2 linked regions of the Caenorhabditis elegans genome follow. The protein of the gene in region 1 purifies or fractionates together with the protein of each later gene. This does not show direct contact. Each region holds a gene or a part of one and is shown on either strand. Other genes may lie near its edges. The genes, in order: nrde-2 and bath-31.

The links.
Region 2: the proteins of nrde-2 (region 1) and bath-31 fractionate together in Caenorhabditis elegans (co-fractionation; one large-scale study listed by BioGRID). This does not show direct contact.

Annotation. Positions count from the first base shown.
Region 1 is NC_003280.10:10,239,983-10,253,134, reverse strand, and holds nrde-2 (Nuclear exosome regulator NRDE2), read left to right. Parts: upstream 1-5,496; 5' UTR 5,497-5,524; coding exon 5,525-5,567; intron 5,568-5,624; coding exon 5,625-5,686; intron 5,687-5,735; coding exon 5,736-5,849; intron 5,850-5,894; coding exon 5,895-5,971; intron 5,972-6,016; coding exon 6,017-6,429; intron 6,430-6,603; coding exon 6,604-6,725; intron 6,726-6,774; coding exon 6,775-6,939; intron 6,940-6,984; coding exon 6,985-7,590; intron 7,591-7,672; coding exon 7,673-8,179; intron 8,180-8,251; coding exon 8,252-9,158; intron 9,159-9,218; coding exon 9,219-9,796; intron 9,797-9,845; coding exon 9,846-9,949; intron 9,950-10,211; coding exon 10,212-10,326; 3' UTR 10,327-10,539; downstream 10,540-13,152. Other genes in the region: F54B3.1 (Protein SZT2), read right to left, coding at 448-925, 972-1,142, 1,327-1,618, 1,783-1,841; atad-3 (ATPase family AAA domain-containing protein 3), read right to left, coding at 2,264-2,663, 2,711-3,723, 3,770-4,144; mrps-14 (Small ribosomal subunit protein uS14m), read left to right, coding at 10,645-10,721, 11,213-11,386, 11,505-11,601, 12,470-12,721. UniProt on the Caenorhabditis elegans protein: Protein of the nuclear speckles that regulates RNA exosomal degradation. Involved in short interfering RNAs-mediated silencing in nuclei.
Region 2 is NC_003280.10:3,726,360-3,735,737, forward strand, and holds bath-31 (BTB domain-containing protein), read left to right. Parts: upstream 1-5,613; 5' UTR 5,614-5,666; coding exon 5,667-5,779; intron 5,780-5,824; coding exon 5,825-6,360; intron 6,361-6,404; coding exon 6,405-6,556; intron 6,557-6,598; coding exon 6,599-6,718; 3' UTR 6,719-6,822; downstream 6,823-9,378. Other genes in the region: C46E10.8 (C2H2-type domain-containing protein), read right to left, coding at 311-391, 435-533, 577-729, 793-855, 905-961, 1,010-1,075; Zinc finger protein sdz-12, read right to left, coding at 3,793-3,972, 4,024-4,122, 4,190-4,369, 4,413-4,631, 4,688-4,828, 4,893-4,949, 5,073-5,189.

The sequences.
Region 1 (13,152 bases):
GGAAAATCGAAACAACTATATTTTTACCCATTTTTGTGATTTGATTTTTTTCTCGATTTTCAAAAATTGGAAAATCTTCAAAAGAAAAGTCCAAATTTTTGTAAAATCGAAATTTTTAAAAAGTTTTTCCGCTGTTCGAAAAATCGCAATTTTTCTTCGGAATATCGGTAATTCAAAAAAAAAAAAAGAATCATAAAATATGATTTTTTAATTCTAATTTTGTTCATAATTTGAGAAAAAACCAAAATTTGAAGCTAATTTTTGAAAAATCGAAAATATTTTTTTAAAAACCTTTCTTTTGTGAAATTGAATTTTTTTTTCGTTTTTCCACTTATCTGTAAAATCTGTTTTTTTTTCAGAATATCAGAAAATCGAAAAAACTTTTTTTTTTCAATTTCTGGGAAATCTAATTTTTTTTGTTCCCAGCCCTGTGACTTGATAACTCACTAGATTGAGTATTTTCGGGGAGCATCTGAATCTGTAAAAGACCCATTCGAAGCATAAATATCAGCGACCAATCCGGTGCAACATAACTCTTATCACTTGCAAATGACAATTGTTTCTGATCTTCATGACGTTCAGTTGCAGACCATATTCCACGTTGTATTGACATAAGATTCCCACCATCCATTGCTCTGTCTGCATCTCCATCATTTTTGTGTGAAGTCGATGCTGCGGAAGATTCAGATAAGTGAATATTTTCCGCTGATGGTACTTTTCGACTGCAATCTTCACTCTGCGAGTCACTCTCACAAAGTGAATCGAATTTATTGTGCTTGTGACGACGTTTCAGTTTTCCCCACATTTCGAGAATCGGACGGGAGAAGGTGAACAGTCGTTTGTAGATGTCGACGAACTTTATCTCAACCGATTCAATTACCATATCAACATTTGATTCAGTGACGAAGACTCCTTGGCATAACGTCTGAAATAATTTATGAATTCGGATGCAAGCGGAAAAAAGAACGTACAAAAGTCTCCTCAAACTTCATAAAAGGTGTGAACAAGCAGATGGACGTGTGAACTTGAGGACGAAAAATTCGATTCGTTCCGGGTATGACAAATGATTTTACTGATGATCGTAGAGCATTTCGAAGGCTTGGGATGATTCGATCAACGAGGCAACAGTTGGATTCATCGTCCTGAAAAATTACGTGATTTCGCACAATTGCTCTGGGCTGGGACTTGTTAGGTTTTTCATTTGTTTTTTTTTTTGGTATTTTGACGAAACATTGATTTTTTGGTTTTTGGGACCAAAAAACCAAGGCTCATTTTGTAGAATTTTCAGATGAACAATGCAGCGCAGCCGTGCCAAAACCAACTCACCGCCATAACAACGGATGGACTGAGATCAAGAACAAAAACAATTCGATAATATCTGGATATATATGTGCATTTCGTTCTGACAGTCACAATGAATTGCTCGTCTCCAACGACTTCTGTACCATCTCCTCCGGCTGGTACAATCCCGATGACTGTCATCTCTTGCCTGTACTCATCTTTTGGATCTTTTGATGGTTTATATGATGAGCATTGTGGAACTTCTTCGATTGATACGGCCTTTCCGAGATGATCAATGTACCAATGTGCACGAAGATTGCGGGATGCACGGAAGATTCTGAAATTATTGTTTTTCAGGATTTCTGATATTGAAAATTGTGGTTTCTAGCTTTTTATTGTTGCTTTTCTGGAAATATTAGGCTAAAAGCTCATAAACGTTTAATTTCAATTGATTTCTTATTTTCTGAAAAAACCATATATTGCCAGCTTTTTCCTTCTTACCTGTGCATAAACAGAAAGACCTCTCCGGCCTCCCGCAAGTTTTTTGTTTCAGTATCCATTTGATCGTTTTAATCGAACATTTGGGCTGAAAATTATTTTTTTTGCTTTTTCTCTTCAGAAGCTTTCAAAATATGAAAAATTGAAGTGCAACAAAAGCGATTATTAGTTAGTATTACATTAAAATGAAGAGTTTCTTTATTAACAAAAAAAAAACAATAATCTTTCACTCTACTTAAATTACTACACAAAAACTAAATAAAAATGACTGACCTAGAAAATAAGGGGAAAACGAAAAAAAACAATAGAAAAACAAGGGCCTAATTGAATTATCTAAAAAAATTATATTATCAGCAAAATTTCTGATTAAGAATGAAATTACGAAATTACCGGAAGTTTGAAGATTTCAGAAAAGAAAAAACAACAAAAAAACGTAAATAGAAAACAATAGAGTATCATGAACAAGGAAATGAATATTTTGAAATTAAACAGCAGTTTCTCTCTTCAACGTAGTTCCGAACTTGACTTCTTGGTTACGAGCTTTCAATTGCTCCTTCTCAAGCCATTCCATCTTATGTTCATGTTGAACCATTGCGTCAGCAGTATTACGATCAACGATAGCCTCGGTGAGCACTCCGGTTTCAGATGCATATGCAGAAGCTTGCCATCCGATGACAAGTTTACTCAATTCTCTTCCACTCATTCCAGATGTCTTTTTGGCAACTTCATTACACTTAGCAACCCAATCAAAGTTATCGAGTTTCAGTCGTTGAGAACGAGATCCACTAGTTGCTGGAGTGACGATGTGCTCGTTGAAGTATTGCAGAAGAATTCGTTCACGTTCTTCCATTCCTGGCAGTGTGAATTCGACAAGCTGATCGAAACTGAAAAGAATAATAAATTCTGTTTTTTATTTAAAAAAAAGGATTACCGATCGTTAACTGCCCAATCGAACTGCTCTGGCTGATTAGAAGCCACGACAAGCATGAACTTTCTCGACTGCTCTCCAGTTCTGAAGAGGAAAGCGTTGAGAGCTGCACGTGTGTCTTCAGACATTCCATTCTTTGATCTCTTTTGCAAAAAAGCGTCAGCTTCGTCAATAAAAACAATCAACCCTTTGCGACTTTTTGAAGCCCAGTCGAATACTTTATGAATTGCAGATACTCCATCACGTCCAAGTGGAGCAATATCTCCTCCAGTGAGAACTGCGTAATCGAGTCCGGAATGTTGAGCCAAACTCTTTGCGAAAAGTGTCTTTCCGGTTCCTGGTGGTCCGTAGAACATTACATTACGGAAAAGTCCATTATTTCTCTTTGTGTTTGAGGTGGTAATGGCAATATCACGAAGACGACGTTCCAAAGCAGGTGGTAATACAACTCCATTCAGTGGATCCTTCTTCTGACGAGTCATCATTTGAACACTTTTAATTGGGTGTTTGAGTACTTCAAGTGGAGTGATTCTGGATGTTTCTCTTACAAGACTTGGTTTTCCGAGACGAGATTCGATGTATCTTGCGGTGACTCCAGTTCCTCGTTTAGCGGTATACCAGCCGACAGCCAAAGCAGTCAATCCTCCTACTGCAGCAGCGATTTTCGTTTTATCATTCAAAAATTGATTGAGTCCAGAACCGATAAGTTCTCCACTGGTTTTAATTTTTTCAATGACAGTTTTTCGGTTCTCTTCTTCGTGAAGCTTCATTTGCTCTAAGTTTACATCTCTGTTATCTCGAGCAGCCTTTGCCCTGGCTCTGGTCTCTGCGTCAATTTTCTCGAGCTCGTATTTGTGTTTTAATGCTAACTCATGCTCAATAGTTTGCTTGCGAAGTTGTTCCTGCTTCTTGACAGACTCTTCTTGTTTTCGGAGGCTTTCTTCCTGCATTCTAGCTTTCATGGCAAGCTCCTCTTCGGCTCTCTTTCTGGCCAATTGATCTTGATATTCAGCACGCTGAAATTATTTAGTTGTTATGTATTCAGATGTTTGGAAAAATTACCGAATGCGCATGTTTAGTCTCTTCTCCCAAAGTCTTCCTCCGTTCTTCTTCAGCAACACGAATGTGCTCTGATTTCATATTGGCCAATTGAGCTTCGATCTTCTTGGTCTCGTTCTCGACCTCTTTTTGGCGTGTAACTTCTTGCATTCTCGACAATTCAAGAGCTTCTTTGGCATTTGGAAATTTCTCTAGATCACGAGCAGCCTTGGCGGCACGCTCCAAAGCTGTTGAGTCGAAGGAATATGCCATTTTGCTGTTTCCCTCTTGCCGTTGGCCTTGACCTGGTTGTTGTGGACCGCCAGGAGCAGCACCTGCTTGAAAATCATCCGGAATCTGCGGAGTAGCGTTTTTTTGAACACCAAATAACCAAGACATCTGAAAGAATAGATTGAAGCTTGGGATGGTGCAAAAATATTCTAAGGAATATTGATTAAAGGAAATGATTTATATATGTACTTATGCCAAAGTATGAAACAATAATTTCTTTAAAGGAATGAAATTCGGAGAGACTTTGTGTAATCCTTGAAGAAAACGTAGTATTAAAACAGAGTTGCAACCTTTTCAGTAAAATTAGATGATGCAAAACAGATTTTCCGGCTCATTTTCCCTGAATTTAAAGGACCTGCCGTCAAAAAAGACCTGCCGTCGTTATAATTCACGAATTTCTATTTTTTGAAACACATTCTGCATTGAAAAATAAACTTTAAAAAATTAAATTAAGATTGTTGGAAAAAAACAGAAATCGCTAAGGCAGATTATGCTCCAATGACATTTTCTGACGCATTTCTCGATATCGTAAAGTGCGCCAGCGTTCAAAGGCCACATCTGAGGCCCCACGAAAAGGGGAGCAGAACGAAAAGGGGATCTGCAAAAAGGGGATCTGCGAAAAGGGGAGATACGGAAAGGGGAGATACGAAAAGGGGAGCAACGAAAAGGGGATCTGGCACTGTGCCAAACGCTATTTTTCTCGAAGAAAACGATACAACGATTGTCGCGAATACGCAGAATACTGATGTTCCGCCGATCACGACTGAGAAATGATATTAATACCCAGGAAATGCGTCAAGGAAATATTAAAGAATTATTATGATTATTACGAAGTCTTTCCGTATTCTAAATGCTCACGACAATCCACCGAAGTCATCAACAACGACAAAGCCGGGAAACTCCTGTTTGAAAGCCGCGCCAAAAGACACACACGTCACGAGTGTTACAGTACTACCACACATGCACATCAAACCCCAACACGTCGACACCGCGCAAGGAAATCGTCACTTCTTCGTTTTACTCCCGGACCGGCAGGTCGCATGTTAAATATGAGCTTTCTCATTTTTATCATTCAACGGATTTATCAGTAATAAATTATATAATTCTACCACTTTTGAACCTATACCGATCCGAAACATGGTGCATCGGCTCCGATGTTACGCGTCGCGTGTTGTTAAGCGTATCTTCTAGAAGAAAACTTCAAAAATCAACGTGCGTTGCGTGAGAAAAATTGCGTTTTGTGCGTTTGGCACAGTGCCAGCTCCCCTTTTCGTATCTCCCCTTTTCGTATCTCCCCTTTTTGCAGATCCCCTTTTCGTTCTGCTCCCCTTTTCGTGGGGCCTCCCACACCTTTGTTTTTCTTTTCGAACAGTCACATTTTTCCTTTTTTTTTTTGTTTAAAACTTTCTTTCTTTCATTAAAAAAACAATTATGCAAATTGTGAATTAAGCTGTTTTCAGGGTAATATCATACCAAACTTAATGAACAATGTTTCGAGCGTATGGAAATAATGGATTGAAAAATCCAGAAAGTAAGTTTTTTCTACGAATTCATCTCATTTTTATAAATGCAAAATTCATTTTTCCAGGAATTTCTGGTGAGAATCCAGATCTTTATACGCAAACAAGGGCTGCTGTTCAACAACGAGCGGTGAGAAATATTTAGTTTTTTTTTTCATCTTTCATGCGATTTATTTCAGACTACCACTCTAAAAAGAAACGAAAAACAGAAACTCGCCGTGCAGAATGACTCTGTTTTTCAGCAAGTTGGAATTGGAGAATCTGATAGTGATGACGATAATGGTGGTGTTCGGGTGAGGCCAGTGACATTTAAACTTTAAACTTATTTTTGCTTTCAGATTAGAATGAGCCCCCACAGGTACATTGATCCAGATGATGTTTTCACTCTCCCAGAGGTGAAAAAGCAAAATGCCTTGTGCGTAAATAATTTTTCTAGTTTGAAAATAATATAAAATTTCAGGAGAGACGCGAAAATTGCGGCCCGAGCAGCTCAGGCAACTGCTTACAATACATTTCCGTCCGTTAAAAGCTTAAATGGTTGCCAAGATCCACCAGAAACAAGTCAACAATCCACAAGTCGTAAACGTTCAGCAAGCAACAGCAGGAGTCCATCGAGATCTCACAGTCGCCGATACGATCGGGATAATGGCAGGCAACGCAGCAGGAGTCGTGAAAAGAAGAGAAGAAAGAAGGAACGCAGACGAAAAAGATCCAGTAGCCGAAGCTCTAGTTCATCTCGTTCTCGGGATAGGTCATCTCGTGCTCGGGATACGTCATCTCACACTTTAATGAAAATGAACAAACCTGCAAAATATGCATTTCTCACCGATGAAGAATATCGCACGTGCGATGCGTACATTTCATCTGCGTTTAGTAAGTTTTTTCATCGAAAAAAGTGATCATATCACAATAAAGTTAATGCTTATTTACGATTCAAAGTTAAAATATATTTAGAAATTAAATATTCATATTATCGCCAGCCGGCAAATACTGCGCAATTTTCAAATTATTGTTAATTTAAAAAGTTCCAACGAGAAAAAATTACAGTTACTCAAACTAAAAGTGATTGTGAAAACTATACGCAAGGAGTTCCGAAGAAAGAAATTGCCAAGTGTCGATTGAGTGTCAAGTTTATTGTCGGTTTGGAGCATAACAATATTCTGTTCAACGTATGTTTTGGCACTTATTTTTTAATCTTTTCAAAAAACCAGTTTTCAGAATATTTATGGAGCGGAATATGCCAGAGACAAGGAAAACCGCCCATTCTGGGAGCAGCTGGATAGATACTTGAAGGATGTTCCGAAAGAGACATTCTTTCGATATGTGCCTCCAGTCGGCGGTTACTGGAAGATTCGTGACAGAGTTGATTTATTAAATCTTGATGTGAGTTATTTTGAATATATCGGAAACCGAAAACCAAGATTTCAGCACATTGACGATGATGTTCTAGCAAACGATTCGGATAATCGAAAAGATGCGTTCACATTTGAGCTCGAACAGGCGAAGAAAACATTTTCCGAAAATGTTCATAACATTGATGCTCTAATCAAAGTAATTTCAATGGAAGAAGAAATGTGTCGTCGGAATGTTGGAAGTTTCTCCAGTTCAAATCCAGCAGCTCTTGCCGAACGTCACCAGGAAATGGTGAAAAAAGCCATTAAAGCCGACGGTAGAAATGCAAAACTTCGATTGATGAAAATTGAATTACTCATCAAAATGGATCCCAACTCTCCTACTATTATTGATGACTTCAAAAATCTTACCATCACATTTCCACATGAACCAATGGTATGGATCAAGTATTTGGACTATATACAATATGATAGCAATGTGTACAATTACAAAAAATTGAAGAATGCATTCGAAGATTGTATCCGACAAGTGACTGGATTGACAAATGGAACACTTCTTTCACATTTGAATGCTGTTAACGATAGACCATTGCTTAGAATGTTCCATTTATGGATTTATATTCGTTATTTGAAGTGGATGATTTCCTGTGCACACACGCCAGTGGTACTGGCAAACATACAGGTGAGATTTTAGGAAATACTAAGAAACCTTTGGTTTTGTGAGTATTAAATCACTTTTTTTTTCAAGATTTTACTTATTTCAGGCCACTTTTGAATACAATTTTGGACTCGCTGATGTTGAAAAGCGGACGAGCACTAATTCAAAAGAACGGGAAGTCAGATTGGAGGAATTCTGGGAATCTGGTCTTCCGCGAATCGGCGACGAAGGTGCTGTTGGTGCAGAGAAGATGCTTAAACAATCGGAAGAATTATCTGATGAAGATATTCAGAAATTGGAAAATGATGATTTTGATATTCTTATTTCACGCACCGAGGAAACAATAGCGACGTGTCTTCAAGCTCAACGGGACGTGCAGATTTCGTGGATCGAAGTTGAACGAGAAATGATGAACATCGATGCTCGCGTGAAACGGACGAAACTGAAAGATTGTGAACTTTATGAAGATCATGTGGACGACTTAGAGACATGTGAACTCTGGGACATCATTCCTTTTGATAGAATTCGATATTATGAAGCACCAGGCGATTGTGCTAATTTCGATTTTGTACAACCTTTTTTGGAGTTGCTCGGCGTCAAATTTTTAAATTCGGTAAGCAAATTTCAACTAATATTATGCTTGAAATTAATTTTGAGGAATTGTAAAAATACTTTTTTTTTCCAGACGAACTGCTTCACAACAACCGAACAAATCATTTCTGATTGGATTTCTAATGATTCTACTGTTAACTTCTACAAAACTCCGACTTATACCGAGAAAAAGTGCTTTGAAGTTGGAAATAATATTCTGAAGTTTATGCTTTACAATCGACTCAAACTGACCGAAAACAATCCTGAATACTTGGATAAGACTATGGTGAAGTACTTGCTGGCAATGCTCGTCACCGAAGCTTCGGAACAGGAGAAGAAATTGAATTTCCACAGTTTTAAACTGAATCTTAAAAACTTGGTTGGAACATTCATCACTAAACATCCAGACATTTTCAAGCGTGCCATGCTGAGTAAGATCACAGGAATTGTCTACATGGAAAAGTTTGTGTCTTGGTGGGAGCGTGCACTGAAAGAACAGGAAAAAGTAGTGGAAGCTGACGAGAGAAGGAAGAATTATAAAGAGATCAAGATGGAGGAAGGCGTCGTAGATGATGTTAAATTCGATGTCATATTGTTAAAGAAAGACAAAGAACGAGTGCAAACAATTCGTGATAAGATTAGGGATATGATTGATATAGCTATCCCCAAATCAACAGAAAAGCTCATTCAGAGCGCTGATTCTTCATTGCCAACGCTTCAATTACATCTTTATGCCAATGTTCTACGTGGAAGACTTTCTATTCTAAATCAAAATGCTTTAGAAGAGACTCGAGATGTTTTCTGTAAAGAGATTCTTGGAATTCACACTTCGGAATTTGAAAGTGATGAAGCTCTCTTATTGGCATTGGATCAAGGATTGAACGAATTGCTGGAGCATTGCAAGGAGAAGGACAATCTTGAATCGGTCGACAGTATACCAGAATTACCAAGAGCTGAGGCACTGTGCGAAGCTTTGAAAGTTGTGGCGGTATTTGTTTTCTGTGAGTTTTATAGTCTTTGAGTCTTTGTAAAAATTAATTGATTATTTTATTAAATTTCAGTGGACAAGATGGCATTCAGCAGGCGTGCAGTCGACTGCCTCATTGCCAACGCGATCACCAAATTCGAGCAATTTGAAGCCAAGAAAAATGATTTCAATCGTGGAACTTATGAAAAATACTGTGATCAGATCGATTTGAAATTCATCACGGACACTCTCATAACCTTCTTTTCGCACAAAAAACACCGTTTCATCTACAATGAAAACTTCAAAAAGTTGATCTTCCAAGCATCGCAAGCGTTCCCATGTGATTCGAAATATGCGAAGATGCTCGGCGAGCTGCATTCCAGCGGTCGTCTGCAAGTGATGAAGCTTCAAGGATTCACCGACAGCAGAAATAGTATTTTGAATGCGAAACGAGATCAGCAATTTGATCCAGAACTTGAAACTCGTCTTCTCATGAACTCGTTGACTATTATGTTCTCTTGGATGAATGCAGCCAACCGGATTGGAGACGCCGGAAATCAAATCCTCTATAAAAATTGGAAACGAGAAGCAGCTAATACACGTGATCCGGCTATCTGGAGACAAGTTATAAGAGTTGCCAGTAAATTGTCACAGAAGATTCTAAAGGACGATGTGAGTTTTCAGGAAAAAAGGTTGTATGTGAAATTTAAATTTCTTACAGGCTTACACTCGTGCAAGAGGTCAATGTACATGGGCTCTCAATTTGCACTTTGATTATATTGAAGCAAAAACTGTCCGCAAGAATGGAGATCTAATGGAGATGATGTAAGTTCAATTATTGAGAGCAAAGTTTCAGTTCAAAAATGTAATTTGTTGTGCCCGATTTTTGAAAATAATCAACTAAGATTGATTTTATTACAATGTTCAAATTATCGAAGTATAATTAATTTAAATCGTATTATTTTTTTTCGATTTCTAGTCTAGTCTATATACAACAATACAATACAAAGCGAATAAATTTTATTAAAACGCTATGCAATTATAATCAGCACACATGCCAATGCATTCTAAATAACACTATTTACAGCTACCTCATTCTCGAACAAAGCATGGGACAAGAGCATAGTTTATTTGTGACCGACGAGGAATACATGAAAACACAGCAGGAAATTGGACTACAGTATTCCGAATCCGGACGTTGATTCTCTCTTTTTTGTGTAACTCGGCCTATAACTTTTTTAAAAATCCATTCCATATAATTATCCACCGGTATTCATTTCATCCCAGGAATCTTTCTTTCTTTTGTTCTTTCTATCCGACAGATTATGTTTATTTTTGTATTATAATTCTTCTGTCTTTTCGCATTTTTTGTTTCGGTAAAAATTTTTTGTTTTCAACAATGAAAATATTCGTTTTAATGTCATATTTCTTTCATCATGAAAGAGGTTACACTTCCTCCAACCAGTTCCTTCCATGCATGAATAATTGTATTAAATATGTATTGCAATGTATGTGCACAGATGTTGAGGGCACTCCGCGGAGCAGCGGACCTACTATCGACGGCTCTTTACAAGAATGAAATGATGATGAGTAGAAGGTGAGTATAGATTTCTCTAATTATTATTTAAACTATGCGAAAATCCTGCTTTTGGCGAAAAATTTTGATGTTTTGCTTTTTTTACACTCGAGAATATTTTAAACTTTCAATTTATAAAATTTGTTTAAGCGAAAATTTTTCGTTGAAAAAAGTGAACCTGCCACAAAATGGAAACGTTTTTAAAAAATTAATTTTTAGAATTTCCCTTTTTTTTCCGAAAACTTACACTTGAAATTAGAAGTAAAATGCAATTATTATTAAAATATTCGAAAATTCTCAACAAAAAAAAACGTTTGAGGCCTGCGAAATTACTCGTATTTTTGACGAAAAGTTCAATTTTTGCTTTTTTATTCGAAAAAAAAACTAAATGGAAAACTTTTTTTTTGGTTTTCAAATTTCAAAATTTGTTATTCGAACTCAATCCTTTTCTCGCGCTGAGAAAACAGGAATTATCGTCTTATGGCTTAATTTAAATGTCCAACAATTTCCAGATATTTATCAACTCCAGCTCCTGAACCTGCAAAACCATCATCTGAAGAGACTACGGAATCCACGGAACCGGCAACATCTGTAGAAGATGCTGGAGAACCTATGAAAGAGAAACGAATCACTCAACCATATTCTAGCGAGGCGCTTACAAAATTGAAACTTGATCAGTATCCATTGTAGGTTTTTGGTTTTTTTTGTATATTTTTGAAATTATTGCCTGCCGCTTTTTTATTCTCAAAGTGAGAAAGAATTGCACATAAACTATACACTTGTATTGAATATACGTTTCTATAGATACGTGGAGAGAGAATGGTGGAAAACCGGAAAACGAATGACATTCTGGGCGAGTTGGCGTCAGTTGAGAGATGTCAAACGACGTGAGCAGATTCAGGTTGGTTTCTATTTTTTATACGAATATTGTCATATGTGCTAAAAATATTTTTGGTTTTTATTTCAAACCAAAAAGGAAAAAAATTGAAATTTGTAAAAGAACCAAAACAAAAAATACCAAAAAATACGAATATTGTCATATGTGCCAAAAAATTTGTTTTAAAGGATTAAAGGATTAAAGGACGATCCGTTCTTCAAGTGCTATGCACTGCGGATCTGGGATTCAGGTACACTGCCTGGTGGTGATCCCTCTGGGCTGTAATTTAAGCCACGTCCTAGCCGGGGACTGTGGCCGATAATCCAGTCGTGGATTGCTCCACTTCCCAATAGAGGCTGGGTGAACCTAGGGGGTGAGGCCGGACTTGAACTCGTGACCTCCAGACTGCTAGCGGCCACCACTACCGACAGAGCTAAAAAACATCAAAAACCATAAGAATATTTACAAAATATAAATTGTTTAAAATACAAAAAAAAAATCGCATTTTTCTTCGTGCCAGAATACCAAAAAACACCAGGGCTGTCACCAAAAAAAATTTTCCATAAACAAAAAAAAGTTTTTCGCTTCTTTTCACATGTCTGAAATTTTTTAAATATTTTTTTTATTCGAAAACCACCAAAAAATCGTTATTGAAAATCATTACTTTTTAAAAAAACAAAACCCCACAAAACAGAAAACCCAAAAAAAAAACCATTTTTTGTGACGAAAAAACCAAAAAATTCCCTTTTTTATTAAAAAAACCCCCACAAACCAAAAAAACCAGAAAAAACCCATTTTTGTAACAAAAAACCCCCGACACCCCCATTTTTGACAAAAAAGCCTTAAACAAGCCCAGGCCTGCTGCTTGCCCTTGATTAAAATTTAATTTCAGGAAGTCGGCGCGGATCGTATGCGTCTAAAAGCTATCAAATTCAACACAATTCTCCCGCAAGCGATTCGTGACGAAGCAGCCGAGAAAATGCAAAAAGCTCGAAAATACGATCATCCTCGTCTGATTCTCAATATGTGCCAGTTCACAGGACGACAACGTGGAAAGATAAAGCCATACAGATTGAGTAGACACTTGTTCCGTCGATTTGCAGATAGATCAGCTCTCAGTGGAGTCCAAAGAGCCATGTGGTAGTGTGAGATAGGAGTTGTAGTTTTAGATTTATTTGTTTTCTATTTTTGATTTCTTCTTCGTTTTGAACACTTCTTTTGTTATCGATGCTCTTAATGAATTATTTTTGTTTTATTGTGATATAGATTATGATATCTCTGTATTGGTTATTGATCAATTAAAATACTTTTTTTTCAGAAAAATTATTATTTTCAGATGTTTTTCTGTCCATCAGTGTGCGAGCGTGCTCCACAGCCCCAATACAATGGGTCTCGTTAGTTAATTGGCGGCAAAAGCCTAAAAATTCAAACGTTTTATTTTTCGGCAATCAAGGATGTCTTCGAAAAATGTCTGCTTCAGAGATTCACTGTTTTGCCTCCAATACCTAACGAGACCCAACTATTGGAGGCGGATCCTGCTCATTTCGCTGCTGAGCGCGCTTTCACATTGATCTC
Region 2 (9,378 bases), 6.5 Mb from region 1:
TCGAGGTAGATTCGCCAAGTAACTGATCTGCATTGAAAGTTGGGGATCCCATTGAGCTCATCGATTCGCCCCGTTCACAGAGCTTGCTGTTTGTTGGCAGAGCGCGTGGGGTTTGAAACTTCCAAAAAATAGTCAGCCTAAGTTGAACGCCAAAACTTCAAATAACTCACAGAGGTTTGACCATCTGGGGTGACTTCTCCGAGCTCTGATAATCCAGAGCTTTTCTGCAAATCTGCCTGCTCGCCGAGCTTTTGGCTTGACGCGCCGAATCCATCATTGCTTTTTGACGACAAGGATGCTTCTATCGCTCTCAACATCTCTCCAGATGATTGTGCTGCGAAGCTGCTTGATCACTTTGAATGGAGCTGAGCAATTGAGATGGCGGAGAAATCTGAAAATCCAAGCTTTTCCATACCACAATAATGAATTCTTACCATTGGCGCGAAGCACGAAAAAGAGGCGAGAACACGTGTGTCCCCGAGCTGTGGAGATCCAGAAGAAATAGCGCTGAGCAACGGAGCTGGTGGAACGATCTAAAACCCAAATAGTTTGCTCAACACAATTCAAAGCTCTTACCATAGTTGCAAAGCCTGAAGAAGAAGGAGCAGGTGAGCCCAGACTGGGAATTGCATGAGCTCCAGAATCAGCAGTTTCCAGATGCTTTTTCATATGGCGGTTCAAGTATATTTTACTTGAGTAATGGGCTCCGCAGATTTCGCATGTATGCTTCTGGAAAAAGGTAGAGTTTCAACACAAAGGGATTTTCTGTTCAGTAAAAAAAACTAAACTCACACTTTTGTATCCAGCGACTTCCCGAGCATATTTGTAGCTCTTCAGGTGGGACTTCAGAGATTTCTGAAATTGTGATAATTGGAACTATAATTGGAGCAAAGTTTTCTCTTACCCTGCTCGCGTAAATTCTGCTACACGCTTTGCATTGGTAGACAAACTTGCCCAACTCCTGAATATTTTAATTGAATCTTTTGAAAACAAACGTGGAAAAAGTTACCTGAGAATGAACTGGGTCAAGCAACTGAGCAAAATTGGGAGCACCTGGGGTTACAGGCAGGTCCATTGATAGAAGAAAAAAGTATTTAAATGGTTATGAATGCCCCTTTACGGAATGGAGTGTTGGAGGCAAATATCGATTGAGCGCGCGGTATTGGCGGAGGGCAAATGGGAGGTCAGAAAGAGAGACGCAGAGAAAGAAAGAAAATATGTGTAGTTTCTAATAAGCTTCAAAAAAAGACTATTCGGCAGTTTTTGGGCGCCCGAAAAACCTTTTTTCATATTATATATCAATTTTAAGTTTCACTCGAGAACTAAAACTAGATTTATTGAATGGCGTTACGAAAAATAACTATTTAACAGTACGAAATTATCAATTAAAGTCCACTAAAATTATGATTGGCAGTAACAATATGAATTGTAAACGCCAGATTATCTTCACACTCAGCTCCACAAAATGAGCATTTGAATGGGCTTCCTGGAGCGTGAAGGGCATTGTGCAACAGGCTCATTGGGGCATCGTCGAATTGGATCTTGCAGTGTTGGCATTCCTGAGCTGGATTCTGAAGTTGAGCTGGATTCTGAAGTTGATACGGTCATAGGTGACCATCTGGTTGAGCAAGTTGACGCTGGAGCCGAAGAGGTCAGATCCTGAGAAGATGTATTAGTTTTGAAGCATTATATAGTTTTTTCTCACCGTAGAATGATAATAATAGTGATGAATCAGGAAATACTTGGCAGTTCCAAAGTGCTTGCGACATTTCCTACACGGAGCCAAATTGTGTGGTGAAACGAGGTGGTGGTGCTCGAGATGACGTTGAATTTCCAAATGAGACCGAAATTGCGTAAAACAGTTCAGCATGGGGCAGTCGAAATGAGATCGTTCTTTGAGATGTGTGTACAGATGCTCTTGTAGCTGAAAATTCTGAAAAGTATATAAAAATGAAATTAGTTAGCATACCCTATTCTCTCTGTGAAGCGTTTGTTGACAAATGTTGCACTTCTTGGATTTTGTTCCAGAATGAATTTTTCGATGGCGGTTTAAGTTTGGCTTGTTGGCGAATTGTTTCTCACAGATTTCACATTTGAATTGGCGATTAACCTGGAAAAAGTTTGTTGTAGAGGGAGAAGCTCTTTACATGAAGTTAAACTTACTGGCCTTACCCCATTAGAACCGGTGAGAGTTTGGTGCCTCGTCGAGCTCAATGAGTTGGCTGGCTCACAAACATTACTGCTTGTCGGAAGATCACTTGCGTACTTGAGCTTTCTCTCACTGAGCCTTGAACTCACTGAGCCTTGACCATCAAGGGTGGCACCGCTGAGCTGTGGTGATCCATAGTTTTTCTGAGAATCCGCTTGCTTTTCGAACTCCTGGTTTGGCATTCCATCATTGATCTTCAACGGCAAAGAAGCTTCCAAGGAATTCCACAACTTTCCTTCACAGTTTTCAAAAAAAGCTTCTGGCGTTGTCGCAACACCGGGAAAAGAGCTGAGCAACTGAGCTGGAGTAGATACCTGAAAACCAAAGATTTTGCTCAATATACAATTTAAACTCTTACCATAGTTGTGAGGCTAAAAGACGAGGGAAGAGAATCAATGTTGATATAGGTCAATGGTTTTTCTTCGAAGAGCCTGCTTCTCGTTGGGAAACCACTGGTGCCCGAACTTTGACTATCAACGGAAAGCTGTGGCCATCCATTGGCTGAAGCTAAAGCTGAAGACTCTATGAACAAGCTTTCCTGCAAATCCGTTTCCTTGCTGAGCTCCTGACTTGGCCCACCATCTATTCTTTCTGCTGACAAAGAAGCTCCCATCGCATTCAATAACTCCCCTAAAGTGTTCTGCGCGGCGTCTGCTGACGTTGTCGCTGATTCTACCTTCAGTCCACAATGTTTCTCTTTGAAATGAGCAAGGAGTCCTTGAACACTGGCGAACGGAGCTTTACACTTCTTGCACCTGGCCTATGTGGCGACAGAAAAGATGTTCGAGAAGTATCTTTTGCGAACTGAACTTCATCTCGCACTGACCAATAGGACACGTGAGATAGTTGGTCTGCATAGGAGCTGGAGAAGCGGCAGTTTCAGTTTCCAGATGACTTTTCATATGACTGACCAGGCTTCTTTGGTAATTGTATTTCGATCCGCAGAATTCGCAGGTGTACCTCTGAAATAGATAAGTTAGATAGAGTTAGATAGAGATAGATAGATTATGATGCCAAACGCTATCTATTAAGCACTAACGTCTTCGTAAGAAGACAGCCCAAGTCCACATTTGGTGTTCCGTATGTGATTGCTCAGAGATTTCTGAGAATGTAATTACTTGAACTGTTGCACCTTGCGCAATTCCTGAAAAAAAATGGATCCTTTATTAATTAATTTGTGAAAATTTTACAGTACCTGAGAATAAACTGGCACAAGAGCTTGAGCTTCAGGCAGGTCCATTGATAAGAGAGTAGAGGTGAAGGAATAAATGAACCCGCGCAGAGTGTTTTGGTGGGGCGCAATTATCGATTTGGCGCGCGGTATTGGCAGAGAGCAAATGGGAAGGAGAGTGAAGAAGATGTAGATAGAAAAAGAAACTATGCGTAGTTTGATCTACCAGTCCTGTATTCTGAAGACCAACTAATTGTTTGATTACTCCATAAAATCAGTGATCACGATAGAATAGGGTACTGTAGGTTACCGTAGTTATCAACAATTATCAGTTTCCTTCAAGGGCGAGAACGAGATTCATTGAGTACTTTTAACAAGAAAAAATATTAATTAAGCAGTAGAATCTTATCAATTAAGTTCCTATGCCACCAAAATCATGACTCGCAGTGATGATGTGCATGGTGAACACGATCTTATTTCCACATTCTGCTCCACAAATTGCACATTTGAATGGGCTTCCTGGCGCGTGAAGGGCGTTATGCATGATGCTCATTGTGGCATCGTGGAACTTGATCGTGCAGTGCTTGCATTCCTGAAGAGCTTTTGAGTTGATGAAAGTGTACTTTGAAACTTAAGAACTTACAAAGCTTGGGGTTGGCTCACTGGTAATTAGATTTCTAAACCTTGGCTCATTGGGGCTTAGAGTTGGTGAGAGCTGTTGATCAGTGTTTGGAAGAGTTGCCTGAAAATTTCAAGTCTAATGGTTTCAAAGAACGGCACCAAAACCAATATTGAAAATGAAAACATACCGAGTTCTGTTCACAGAATTCTTCGATCATCGGGGAAGTTCCTAGATTTATGCTCAATTTTTGAGGCGGCTTCTCTTGTGGCGAGATTGCCAACTGAGCTCTGGGACTTCCTGAAGTTGATACGGTGATAGGTGACAGTCTGGCGGAGCTTGTGGGAGCAGGAGCCGAAGAGCGCAGAGCCTGAAAGGATTGTTAAGTCTTAAAGAATTATAAAGCTTTTCACCTCTTTATGATCAAAATGGTAGTGTACCAGGAGATGCCTAGGACTCCCGAATAACTTGTGGCATTTTCCACACGGAGCCGATTCGCTGTATGAAAAGTGGTGATGGTTTACGAGATGATTTTCAACGCCCTCATAGAATACGAACTGCATTGAACAGTTCAACACGGGACAGTCGAAATGTGATCTTTCCTTGAGATGGTTGTGCAGGTGCCTTTGAAGCTGAAAATTACAAATTGCTGGAATTGAACAGGAAAAATGGAATAAAATCTGCTTGCCTGATCTTCCCTGAAGAATGTTCTCTGGCAAGTGCTGCACTTCTTGGATTTTGAACCAGAGTGAGTTATTTGATGACGCTTCAAGTTTGGCTTGTTGGTGAATTGTTTCTCACAATTTTCACATCTGAATTTGTGATTGACCTGAAAAAACGTATAGTTGGAGGAGGAGAAGCTCAGTGGCTTAAACATTTTCTCAAAAACTCACCACATTGGAACGTCCAGGCCTACACGTAATGTGCTTCATGTGCGTTCTCAGCGTTTTCTGAAAAATGGTAGTGAGCTCTATATACTAACTAGCAAAAAAAGGAAGATTATCTGCTGTACAGTAAATTTTGTAAAATTAAGATAAATTAACAACACTTTTTTGCTCACTTCAAAAACTAACCTGATTCGCGAACTTTCTTTTGCAAACTTGACACTGGGGCACCTTAGCAGAATCCTGATCCAAAGTGGAAGAGGTTGCAATAAGCGACAATACGGCGTCTAGTGATGACAAACTCATTTTCACAGAAGAAATCTCTGCGGATTGTCCGAGGGCAGGGAGGAAGGGGAGTGAGAAATGTTTTTGCGTAGTTGCAAAAAGAGGTACATAAGTTCAAAGACTGTGTCCTCGAAAGCTGTGAGAAGTTGCGTCACATATGACGTTGGGGCTTTTGGAGAAGCGGGGCCGACGAATTTATGAAATGTGTGTAATTGCACATTGTAGAGCTGATTGAGTTTTTCAGTATCTCAGTTTTTTCAGTAATTTCTCCATTGACGATGCACCTTCTTTGGGGGGAATATTGTAATCTTTAACAAAATTCACAACATTTTTGGAAGACCAGCTGCCAACTGTGCCAAATTTGCCGGGAAACGAGACGCTGCATTATGCATTATTTTATCGATCCACTAAGATTATCTCCTAGCGTTATTCACTCATAATCTGCCTCTACAAGTCTTCCTATTCGTCATTTTTCTGCAATTTAGTAGGTTAGTAGACATGCTCGTTATAACAAAGGAATTTGTGTCAACTTACACTATTAAAGCAATCTCCAACTTCAAGCCGGATACCACTTATTGCAGCGAGGTTAAAGAATATTACTATATTCCATGGTATTTTTAACTTTCCTTTTTTTATTTAAATTTTTATATTTCCAGGAAACTCCATGTCAATCGAAGAACTGATCAACTTGAGGTGTATCTTAGTTGCGACCAACTTGGCACAATTTGGTCAGTTCAGGCGAATGTTGAAGTGAAGCTTAGATCTCCCAATGAATCTCCCCACTGCAAAACAGCCACTGTAAATTTCAATAGTGAGAAGCCGAAGGAAAACTCATGGGGATGGAAGCAGTTTGCCGATTGGGAGAAAGTCGCAAAAAACTTTGTGATTGAAGATGCGCTACACTTTAAAGTTCATGTTCAAATATTGAACGCTTCTGGGTTCAAGGGAAGAGATCCGGTTTTGAAGTTCGACAATGAGTCTATGGGAGAGCTGTCCGATGTGGTTTTGGTAGTGGATGAGCAGAGATTTCATGTTCTGAGAAAGCATCTCGCTCTGCAGTGCTCCTACTTCAAATCCTTGTTCTTTGGCAGTTTCGGCGAGTCGAAGAAATCAGAGGTTACCCTCTCTGGGATAGACCCGGAAGCCTTCCAGGCATTTTTGGAAGTTCTCTATTTGGAGGACTCGATTGATGGTTAGTTTTTAGTGCTCACATTGGTAATAATTTAAAAATTTCAGACAATACCGTCGAAGGAATCCTTCAACTTGCTGACATGTACGATTCTAGAGCGGTTATTGGGAAATGCGAGAAATTTCTTTACAAGGAGTCCGAGAAGTCCGGGAAAAAGAAATTGGAATTGGCAATTAGATACAAGTTGGAGAAACTAGAGGTAAGTGCGTGCACCTGAATATAACCTTATTTTATCTTCCAGATTCACTGCTGCAACACCATCAAAACCATCCAAGATGTCCGCTCAATTATCGCTGGAAACATTGATGAAATGAGCCCATTCCTGATGAAGCGGGTCTTGAAGCGAGTTCTTGAAGTTTAAAAATTGTTCGTTTTCAAATATGAATTGCATTTTTCTAATAACTGATTTTTGGCCACTATTTTTTCTCTGTTTTCAATTGTAAAGTTTTATTTGCCAGTACAAAAAATAAATTTACGTTTTCTTTATATTATATTGATGAGAAAATTTGAAGACTTACAGAAGAAATTCAAATCATGAACCAGACCAAACCAGAAAAAGTCAAGTCAAGAATTCAAGAAACTTTTATCTAGCATTTCATAAAGTATTTTGATAAGACATATACATAGTTATATTTTGTGGAGTTTAAAAATATAGTTTTGAAAAGTGAAGTTCAAAAACATAGAAAAATAAGAAGTTAGAGGTTTCGAAAATAAGCTTAATTCGAAAGACTCGAAAAAAATCTCAAAAACTGGAAAAAATTGAAGATTTCAATCGTCGGACGGTGTTTGACAGTAACTCGTCGTCGTCGTCGTAAATAGAAGTAGTGTTGATTAGAAAAAACGATGGAATAAAGAAATCAGAACCTCCAAATAGAAAAAGTTCCATGAATGTTTTTAATTCGATAGGCACGCATGCCATGAACATCAGATTCCTCGGCTGAATTAGGCATTAGTAGCTCTGGGCTAGAGTGGGGATAATCATTGTAAATGTAGAAAATGAAAAGTTCAAGGTCTGGATTCAAAGCCTTTAACCCAGAGCTTGATCAATAATTTCAAATTGGAATTGGATAACGGGGTAGCATGGAGTGAAATCACTGGATTGTTCATCAATAGTAGGTCGTTAAGAGTCACAGAGAAGAAGATCGCAAGGTTAGAAACGTTGTGAAATGTTGTCCAATCATTTTTCGATTCAGACTTTCCGCCAACTATACTGATTTTTTCCACACATGGCAGGTATTTAGCCAGATTATTGTTCCCAGTGAACTCCCTATTCAAGACCTTTTCAACTTTCAATCCATCGAGATTTGTCTGAGAAAACTGAGATCTCGAGTTTCTGCAGACAGACGTCACAAAATATCGACTGAAAACAGACAGACGTCACAAAATATCAACTGAAAACGGCTGCACAGCTGTTATAGAGCAGATCAATATGAGCGTAATGGATTTACAGGACTGTTGGAAGTTTTTGGCTGCTGAGTTTTCAAATAGGTGTAACTCGAGAACTATTGCGCTCAGGAAAATGTTGTAAACTAACAAAGTGGTGCTCTTGATCTACTCTACAGTTTTGCAGTTATCAAGTTTTTACCAGCTTCACCCTGGAAAAAGTTAGAGCGGCCGACAACTTGCTGGACCAAATAATTATTTTAATTGAAATCTCAGTTGCTAACAAAACATGTTATTAATAATTTATTAATAAAATAAATTATCAGGGCCACCAAATAATTATAATTATACAGTGCGTCCAACTTCTATAGCACCCCCCTCCAATTTGGCGGTTTGGAGCTTCTCAAAATATTTTTTGAAAAAGTGCTAGTGCAGTTCGATAGCAAATGTTGAAAAACCTATGCTCCCCAATTTTTATTATGATATCTCAAAAATCACAGGAATCAGGTCAAAATATCGGAAAAATGGCCGTCCAACTTCTATAGCACCCCCTCTGATTTTTGGCAATTTTCGGTAAAATCGGGGTTTTCTTCTTAATTAATAAATTTATTTTGTGAATAACTTTACACCAAAATGTTCAGACGGTTTCATTTTCACATTTAAAAAATAAATATAACCCCTGAAAACACGTGGAACGCCTAGGATTGTCCTGGAACGTTCGTATTTGCTTCAGAGGCCATTTCTCGGCTCCCAATGATTTTCGCAGCACCAAACTTGACCAAAATGATCTTCCCCACCTATGTATTACTATTCAAATAATTGTTGAGAACATTTATTCATATGAACCAAATGGTAAAGAGAGCAACTGCAGTGATTTTCAAAAGGCTTGATTTAACTATGAAAACTAGCGTTTGGAAGCGCAGAGCTGATGGTTTTGACTTCCTATTGTACAGAATTTTAGCTCATCCGGTTCAAATATCCTTGAAGCTTTGATTTTGATTAGAAGTCTTCGAAAATTTATTCGGAAAAGTTCATGAGGCCGCAAGTATTTTTCTCAAGCTAACACGCGAAAATTTTAAAGACGAAAGTAAGATATAACTTTCTGAATGACGATTTTTCTAGCTGTATTTATAACTCAACTGAAATTTAGCGAATTTGCTCATTGAATATTTCTATGATCAAAGAACCTAAAGGCTAACAGACAAAACCTGAATCGGTGATTGTAGATGTCTAGCATTTGATGTATCCATGGATTTCCACAGATTTGATGTTCACATAATATAATTTTTATTTTTTTGCTTTAATTTAGTAATTTTTAGTCGAAAATGTATTACCAACCTTCAGCTCTGCTCCTCCAAACGCTAGTTTTCATAGTTAAATCAAGCCTTTTGAAAATCACTGCAGTTGCTCCCTTTACCATTTGGTTCATATGAATAAATGTTTTCAACAATTATTTGAATAGTAATACATAGGTGGGGAAGATCATTTTGGTCAAGTTTGGTGCTGCGAAAGTCATTGGGAGCCGAGAAATGGCTTATGAAGCAAATACGAACGTTCCAGGACAATCCTAGGCGTTCCACGTGTTTTCAGGGGTTATATTTATTTTTTAAATGTGAAAATGAAACCGTCTGAACATTT